Canis lupus familiaris: one gene and its partner. The protein of the gene in region 1 interacts with the protein of each later gene in a biochemical or structural test. Links are inferred from orthologs where the notes say so. Each region holds a gene or a part of one and is shown in the gene's direction. Other genes may lie near its edges. The genes, in order: PLAU and SERPINA5.

The links.
Region 2: the proteins of PLAU (region 1) and SERPINA5 form a complex in vitro, tested with the Homo sapiens proteins (2 studies listed by BioGRID). The link is inferred for Canis lupus familiaris from reciprocal best matches to the Homo sapiens genes PLAU and SERPINA5.

What each region holds. Positions count from the first base shown.
Region 1 is NC_049225.1:25,060,431-25,064,995, forward strand, and holds the start of PLAU (urokinase-type plasminogen activator precursor), read left to right. Parts: upstream 1-1,465; 5' UTR 1,466-1,565; intron 1,566-1,793; 5' UTR 1,794-1,824; coding exon 1,825-1,866; intron 1,867-2,303; coding exon 2,304-2,337; intron 2,338-2,470; exon of another isoform or gene 2,471-2,493; coding exon 2,494-2,601; exon of another isoform or gene 2,602-2,929; coding exon 2,930-3,104; exon of another isoform or gene 3,105-3,285; coding exon 3,286-3,377; intron 3,378-3,562; coding exon 3,563-3,782; intron 3,783-3,999; coding exon 4,000-4,148; intron 4,149-4,565. UniProt on the Homo sapiens protein: Specifically cleaves the zymogen plasminogen to form the active enzyme plasmin.
Region 2 is NC_049229.1:63,891,049-63,895,408, forward strand, and holds the start of SERPINA5 (plasma serine protease inhibitor), read left to right. Parts: upstream 1-1,340; 5' UTR 1,341-1,482; intron 1,483-1,611; exon of another isoform or gene 1,612-1,726; intron 1,727-4,360. UniProt on the Homo sapiens protein: Heparin-dependent serine protease inhibitor acting in body fluids and secretions. Inactivates serine proteases by binding irreversibly to their serine activation site. Involved in the regulation of intravascular and extravascular proteolytic activities.

The sequences.
Region 1 (4,565 bases):
TGTCTTCCTGGAGGCCAATCTGGTTTGATAAGCAATCATTTTTTATCTTACTAGAAGCAAGGCTTTATGATGAAGTCTGGAATACTAAGTACATATGTGGTTTTTTTTTTTAAAGATTTTATTTATTTATTCATGAGAGACACACAGAGAGAGGCAGAGACACAGGTAGAGGGAGAAGCAGGCTCCATGATGGGAGCTGGATGCGGAACTCGATCCCAGGACTCCAGGATCACACCCTGGTCTGAAGGCAGGTGCTAAACCGCTGAGCCACGCAGGGATCCCCAATACATATGTGTTTTTTAAAAAAATCTGTAATTACGTTTTTGGAATGGGTGATACAAAGGTATGTTTTCAAAAATGTAAACAGCATAAAAGGGCATACAGTGAAAAATAATCTCATTCTTGTCCTCCAATTCCCCAATCCCTCTCCTCAGATGTGAAAACAGAACTTCTTACCCCTCCACAGCTTACTGTCAGGGTTAATGAGGCTTTACTAGTGTCTTTATCAATAAAGTATACTCTGGCCCCAGCAAATAAAAGGATTGTTTGTTATAGGAACTTTTTGAAACATCCATCAATACTTCAATAGAAAGCATTGATAGTTTGTGCCCTTAGACTTTGCTCTCACAATCCGGTATTCCTCATCCAACCCTTATCAAGCCCTCACTTTCAAAGACCACTCTTAAGTCAAACTGCAAGAAAAATCCGACCTTGCCTACAAGCTGCCCCTGCCAGCCACTACCAAAGGCCCTTTCCTTCAGAAGCAATAAACTCGCTTGTCTTATCCACTGGTTGGATTGATGAATTTTGGGAAGCTCCTATTTGACAGACACATCCCCTGTTAGCAAGACTCACCGAGTCCGTGTCACATGCATTTTCTTTCTTTTCAAAGATTTTATTTTTAAGTGACCTCTTACAGCGACCTGGGGCTGCAACTGGCAACGCAGAGATGAAGAGTCCCACGCTCCCCGCACTGAGCCAGCCAGGTGCCCCTGTCACCTGCATTTTCACGTGGAGAAAGAGACTTAGCTCTAGGAGCCGCGCACTAGGTCCCTATACCCCGGGGTCCCGGTCACTCTCTTAGGCAGTGGGGGGCCGAAGGTGGGAAGACTGGAAAAGAGCTGATTTAGGGGATCTGGGAAGAGACAGCAGAGCCGGACGGAGGAGAGTCTCGCTAGTGCAGTTCGGGGCGCTCTCGGCCTGGGGTGGAGCCGGGGCCAGGTGAACGGGAGGAGGGGCCGAGGGAGTTAGATGCCCCTCGATCCCTCTGTTCAGACCTCGCTCGTCCCCTGCGCTGGGGGCCGCGCTGCGCCCCGCTCCCAGCCGAGGCCGTGGAAGCCCACGGGTCCAGGTCGCGGCTGTCCCCAGGGAAGCCGAGGGAAGGAAAGGGTTGGGGAGATCCCAGGCTGGGGCGGGGCCAGGGCCGGGGCGGGTCCTGATATAGACAGAGCCCCGCAGCCTGCGAGCGGCACAGCGCGGCCCCCGGAGCCCCAGAGCCTCGCGGACTGTCCGAGCCCCAGCGGGTCCCTCCGTCCCGGCTCCGCGTCCCCCCGCCGCAGCTACCGGTGAGTGCAGGCCGCCCCGACACCCCCCGCCCCAGCCCCGGCCGCGCGGGGTGCCCGGCCCGGCCCCGCCGAGCCTGAGTCAGCGCTGCCCGCGCCGGTGCGCCTCGCCGGGCATCCCCCCGCGGGGAGCCCCGCCCGCGCCCCGGCCCTGCCCGAGCTGCCGGCACCCCCGGCCCGCGTCCTCGCTCCCCCGCGTCCTTCTCAAGTTGACCTCTCCCTCCCGAGCAGAGCCGCCGCCCGGAGCCTCAGCCCCGCCACCATGAGAGCCCTGATGACGTGCCTGCTCCTGGGCGCCCTAGTGGTGAGCGACTCTCGAATTAGCGGCTTTCCCGCTCTGGCTCCCCGCGGCCCGAGGGGGGCGGGGGGCGGCCTAGGGGGCCGGAGTGCCCCGGGTTCCAGCAACCGCGGGGCCGGACCGCGTCAGGGGGAGGAGGACAGATGTGGCCGTGAGCATCCTGACGGCTCAGGGAGTTCCCACTTTGGGGCAAGGGGGGAAGAAGCCCCAGAGACCGCGCCAGCCTCCTTGCCGGCTCTGTGACGCCGGCTTGAGTCCATCCGTTTCTCCCTGCTTGAAACCTATGATCTTGCACTTGAGGGCTAGTTAGATGTGAACAAGGAGAGGACAGAGGGACACGGAGGAAAGGGTGAGATTTGGGATTGGGGCCAGTGTTTCCTCATCTTTGAGGCCCAGGAGCCTGGGACCTTGGATGAACTTCTCCTCGCCTCCATCTCTTCCAGGGCAGCCATGAGTTTCATCCAGTGTCTAGCGCATGTGAGTATCCACCCGTTGCACAATATCTGGCTGCACAGACCACTTGCAGAAGCCTCAGGGGGCGGCCCCTCCCAGACGGCGCTGCAGGCCTGGCTCCCCCCTTGCTGCTCCTGCGCCCCCCCCCCTTGCTTACCCTTCCATCTCTGTGATCTCCAGCAAACTGCAGCTGTCTGAACGGAGGAACGTGCGTGTCCTACAAGTACTTCTCCAACATTCAGCGATGCAACTGCCCAAAGAAATTCCAGGGGGAACACTGTGAGATAGGTATGGGGATCCTGACTCTAACTGGGGAGGAGGGGGCACCAGAGACTTGGGGACAGGGAGGATGGGCAAGGTGCAAGAGCAGGCAGGAGTCAGGAGCTGGAGGTGGAGCAGGGAACATCTTCATCCCTGTGTGATATACACAGTGGAGCATAAACACATGCTGTTTCGTGAATCTGTGGTTGCACAAATGTGCAATGAGGAGGGAAGGAAACCCTTTCTAGTGCTTTCTGCCGGGCCTGAAATCATGTGAGGCCTGATAGGCTCTCTAAAATACCTGTCTGAATTTCCTCTTCTTTCTAATATCTCTCATCCTCCCATTCTTCCTTAGATACATCAAAAACCTGCTACGAGGGGAATGGTCACTCTTACCGCGGGAAGGCCAACACCAACACCAGGGGCCGGCCCTGCCTGGCCTGGAACTCCGCAGCTGTTCTTCTGAAACAGTACCATGCCCTCAGACCTGATGCCCTTCAGCTGGGCCTGGGCAAACACAATTACTGCAGGTGAGGTGGGAGCAGCAAAGAGTCTCTAGCCCCACAGGGACCCTGTTACCATCCCCTATATTTCCGGAGTGCTGTCCATAAGCATGAGAATAGCAAGGCCTCTGGCTGACTTTTCCCTGGAGGGGAAGAAAATGCATTCTGGGTTGGAATGACACTCCCCCCAACCTCTCTGTGTTACCAGGAACCCGGACCACCAGAGAAAGCCGTGGTGCTATGTGCAGGTTGGCCTGATGCAGCTTGTCCAGGAGTGCACGGTGCAGCACTGCTCTTTTGGTGAGTGTCACTGACCTGTTTATGACAGTCAGGTGGAAGGGGACAAACTTATGTGTCCCTTTATCCCATCACAAGAGGGTGGAGGAGGGAGGCCTGCCTGGCCTTGAAAAACTGGGAGGTCAGAGGACAAGACAGGGACACTATCCTACTTGCCTCCCTAAGACATCCTTTTCTTTCTTCTCCAGAAAAAAATCCCCACTCTCCTCCAGAAAAAGCAGAGTTTCAATGTGGCCAGAAGGCTCTGAGGCCTCGCTTTAAGATTATTGGTGGAGAATTCACCACCATCGAGAACCAGCCTTGGTTTGCAGCCATCTACAGGAAGCACCGTGGAGGCTCTGTCACCTATCAGTGTGGTGGCAGCCTCATTAGTCCTTGCTGGGTGGTCAGCGCCACACACTGCTTCATGTAAGTCCCTCCGTCTCTTCTCCCTGACCCTCCTGCCTTACCCCCAAAACATCCCATTCTCCTTCCCAGCAAAGGATTCCACTTAAATTCCACCCCCCTTAAGTCCTCTCCATGCAGTCCATGGCTTTGGGGACAAGTCGTGCTCTGAGGTTGCTGTGGAGGGGAAATGACAAGATCTCATGAGATCAGACTATCTGACAAGTCTCCCCTCCCACAGTAATTCCCAGAAGAAGGATGACTACATTGTCTACCTGGGTCGGTCAAAGCGTATCTCCAAAACATTTGGGGAGATGAAGTTTGAGGTGGAAAAGCTCATCTTGCATGAGGACTATAGTGCTGACAGTCTTGCTCACCACAATGATATTGGTGAGTGGAAAACCCTTTTCTGCCATAAAGATGATGATTGGAGGAAGTGGGGTCCAAGAAGAGAACCAAATGGGAGATTGAGGTTGTTAGGGGGAACTGAAGATCCTGTTTTATATAATAAAGGGACATATGTGAGGGGCCTGCTGCTCCTCTGTAGGAGTCCTTGAATTTCCAAACATTTAGCCTCATCTAGATGTCAATGGCCCCATGTGCGTATGACTTGGGCTGAGAGGCCCCTTCTTTTGTTGGATGCAACCTCTGCCTGTCCCAGGATCTGGAAATTCAGCAATGGGCTGAATTTAGCTCATCTACCTCAGCCACCCATACATCTGTATGTAGCAGCCCTGGCTGGCCGAGTCTTATGTCAGCAGCTGGAACAAAGCCCTTGAGGAATGGGACAGGGGAGACTTGTTTCAG
Region 2 (4,360 bases), on another chromosome or scaffold:
CAGGAAGGCTGCTTCTCCCCCTTTGCCTGTGTCTCTGCCTCTCTCCCTCTGTCTCTCAGGAATAAATAAAATCTTTTAAAACAAAAATTCTTCACTTAATCACATCTGCAGAGTCCCTTTTGTCATATAAGGGAAGATCCACAGATCCTGGGTATTAGGATGTGGCTATCTTTGGGGGACATGTTATCCACCCCAGCACAGGCATGTAATACGATTTCCACCCTACAGAACACAGTTTAGGAATCTCTAGGTTCTTTAAAGGACTCTTGCTATGTCACATGGGACAATGGACGGAAGAGACCTAGCTTTCCCCTTGCTAACGCTCCCCCTTATTAGCTGTGTGCCTTTGGGCTGATTACCTAACCTCTCTCTGCTTCTGTCTTCTCACTGATCCGATGGAGATACTAGTACCCACCTTCCAGCACATCTGGGAGGCAGCGAGCACAAAGTAAGTGCTCAATGCCCAGTAGTGATGGTGTTAACCTGTGGACTGAGGTGGGCCTCAGTCTCCTCCTGGTCTCAGAGGCAGTAGAGGGACCCTGTTTGCTGAACACCAAGATCGCTTCCCCTGGGCAACGTCTGGCCCCCTGTCTCCTCTGCCAATTCCCCACCCCAGCTCACCCACATCACCCCTGGGTCTTGGCCACACGCAGGACACCTGACACCAGGGCCCGGGGACCTTGGGAATGAAGCAAGGGTTGAGCCAGCACCCTGCACCAGTATCTTGGAAATGCTCTTGAAATGGCGGGGCTGAGTTCCAGAGCCCCAAGGTCAAGGTCAAAAAGGGCAGTTCAGCTCCAGCTGAGCCTACTGAAAACCCAGATACAGTCCTTTCCTAAGGAAAAAGCCTTGACCTTGAAGTTGGTGACCTGGGCACCAGGCACCATTCTGTCCCTAATTTGATGTCCCGCTCATCTTTCTGAGCCTCAATTCAGTTATTTGCACAGCAAGGGGACTGGATCCAATGGTCCCTGCATCCAGCCATGGTGACAGTCCCTCTGACTTCCTCTAGACTCTCACCATTGAAGGAATCCTGTAAGCTCTGCCTGGGAATCCGGTAGTGTTGGGGGGTGTGGAGACCTCGGGCTCGCACGATCCTGCCCCAGATGTAGAGCCAAGTGGCTGTGGGAGCAGAGGAATCAGCCTGGAGAAAGGAAGGCTTGCCAGAGGGTGTCCCTTTCTCTGTGTCTGGAATGCCAGCAGCAGGTGGCCTCCCTGGGGACCCCGTGCTGTGGAGGCCAACGGGGGTCTGTGTAAGACTGGTGAGTGGGTGGCCCCAGGTCAGAGCTCAGGTGGCTGTGCCTGCAGCCTACCCGTTGGCAAGAAGCCCTCCAGGACAGGACGGGGCAGGGCCAAGGGGGCGGGGGCGGAGTCAGGGCTCTGCCCAGGTCAGTGACAAATGCTCCTTCCAACAGCTTCTGGTTTTCGCTGAGCGTGAGGGACTGGGACCTCCACTGTGTGCACGCTTGACTGTGAGACAGAGTAAGTACAGGCATTGAAGACGGACAGGGGGCCCACGGGCTTGAGGGCATGGGGCTTGATAGGATACTGGGGTTCTGGGATTTGAGAGGCTTCGAAGCTTTGGGGCAGCGCCAGAGTGACCAGGAAAACTTCCCGCGGGGGTGGGGAGAGAGCCAGGGCCTCAGAGGCCGCAGAGTCCACCCTCTGCCCCAGAACTGTGAACTTGGGCACACACTACATTGGCAGCACCTTGGTGTCCTTTTAGGTAAGATGCGAATTATTACACCTTCCCCACAGTGGCTGTGAAGATTCGGTATGTGGTAGCTCTCGCCCAGGAGGGATTTTGATCCCTGCGGCACATCTGGCAACATCTGGAGACATTTGTAGTGGGCACAGCTGGGGACAGAGTTGCACTGGCGTCTAGTGGGTAGAGGTCAGGGATGCCCCTAAATCGCTGACAAGGCACAGGAGAGCCCCCATGACAAAGAACAGCTCCGAGGTGGAGAAACCCCGAGACAAGGTAGAGGGGACAGAGTCTGGTCCACAGGCGGTGCTCCTCTGTCTGGCTTTCGGCACCTGCCATCTCGGACCTTTAGAAATCAGGAGAAACGACGGAACAGCTCTGTTTCCCTGAGTCAGGGCTGCCCCGGCTGGAGCTGCCACCTACAGGGGTCTCAGGGGCTGCTCGAGCTCCGGATGCTGTGTGGCGATTTGTTAAATAGGCGAAACTTGGACATAAAATAAGTATACTTTTCGGTTTTTCTAAGGAGAGGGGCAGTTGCTGCCCAGCGTCCTTGGTCACGGATCAAGAAGCATGAAGGATAAGGCGGTGGGCAGAGGGGGCCGGGAGGCGATGGGTTCGTTTGTGCTGGTGGTAGTTTCACGGGTGTACATGGCCCAGGGCTTTTTGTATGTCACTCGTATCTCAAGAAATGAGTTTTTAGGAAGGAAAAGGGAAATGGAAGCCGAATAGCAGAGGAGAGTTGTTCCAAGCCACCTGGCAAGTTAGCCCTGGGTGCAGGAGGGCTTCGCGTCCAGCACAGGTTCTAAAGCCTCTGAGCCATAGAGAAGGACTTCATTCATTCATTCATTCATTCATTCATTCATTCTTCCAAAAAGGGGTCTGAGCACCAGCCCTTGGCTGCAAACCTCACAGCAAGAGCCTTTTCGGTTGCTTTTCGGTTGCTCTCTGCTAGGAGCTCGTGCTCTAGTTGGGAACAGAGGCCGGGAGGCAGGAAGGCACCTGCAAATGCACGTGGGACCCGGGCTTCCATCACTGTGGGGGCTCAGGGGCCATCCTAGAGAATAACAATGCACGGGGAGGGGCCGGGCAGGGGCAAGGCATGACAACAGCGAGGAGGAGCAGACAGGTCTCCTTAGGCACACACCTCCCACAGCTGAGCTCCAAGTTGACCTGGTAGGACTTTGGGACCTAGCATTCGGAATAAGTGCAGCAGTTTTGGAGTCCATGGATGGTGGGGATTAGTGGGAGGACTTCCTCAGCGCCTGCCCAGGCCCTGCCCTGCCCAGCCCGGCCGGCTCAAGTCACTCTGGCCTGGGGTGCCAGATGCGCTGGATCCATCTGCTCTTCTCCCTCGGACATGCGGGGACCTCTCTGCAGAAACACTGGCATCGGGGGGCCCAGGAGAGGGCCAACGAGGCCAGGCTCCACTCTCCTGATTGAGAGCCCATCTCCCAGGGGCCAGGCTCCCAGGGCCTGGAGCAGACTCGCCCCAGCTCACAGTTGGCACAAAACTCTGTCAAAGCTGTGTCTTTCCGCCGGAGGCCTAGTAATATGATGACTGGCACAGTCCGGGTTTGAAACTGGGAAGCCTAAAACCAGCACCCTCATGCCTCCACTCTCTCGGACCCCCTATTTCCTCCTCTGTACAATGATGGTGAAGATACCAGCTCCGTGTTGCTGTGGAGGAGCATAAATGAGCTTGGGCGAGACCTGGGGATACTCACGAGGACCTAGCTACAGGGGAGAGGGAACAAGGTATCTGTCTCAGAACCGTGAAAGGAAGAACGAGGCAGTGTGTACACCAGTCACAGGAATCTGGATTTTAATCCCGGCTCCATCACTCACTGGCTGAGACAAGCTATATACCATTTTGCTCAGCCTCAGTTTACCCATCCGCAAAATGGTCTCAATGATGTTTCTTCCTTTGATGGGTAGATGCAGTAATATTTGTAGAGTATTGAAGAGGTTGTTAATGAACACTGTTTTGGGTTTCTTTTTTTTTAAGATTTTATTTGTTTATTCACGAGAGACACAGAGAGAGGCAGAGACACGGGCAGAGGGGGAAGCAGGCTCCCTGCGGGGAGCCTGAGCCTGATGCAAGAGTTGATCTCAGGACCCCAGGATCACACCCTGAGCTGAAGGCAGGGGCTCAACCACTGAGCCACCCAGGCGTCCTCAAACACTGGTTTTAGTAAGAGAGAGAGAGTGAGCCCAAGTGGAGAGTTCTAGGTCCCAAACCTGCAGCCCAGGGGAGAGGGCATGAGGCTGGGGCCGCCTCCAAGGAGACCCCGGTATCTGGGGAGACTCGGTGGGTGCTGAGAAAGTGGCTCTGGCCCACCAGACCTCTGGTGCTTGGTGGGGGGCAAAGGGGCAGTGGTGGGGAGAATTGTTTATGAACAAGCTGAGGCCTGCAGAGAGGAAGGAACTGGCTCAAGGCCACCGGGCCAGCTGAAGGCACAGGAGGCCAGAACTCTCTCTCCTGCCTGCGGCAACTGCCTCTGGGCTCCATCCAAGCAGGAACCTCCCTCGGTGTCTGCAACTATTCTCTGAAAGCATTTCTTTTGAGGCAATTATCAGCTCGGTGTTAATCTGTGATAATAAGGGAGCGGAGGTTGAGCTGAAGTGTTTGCTCCGCAGCATCCTGCTACATTGACG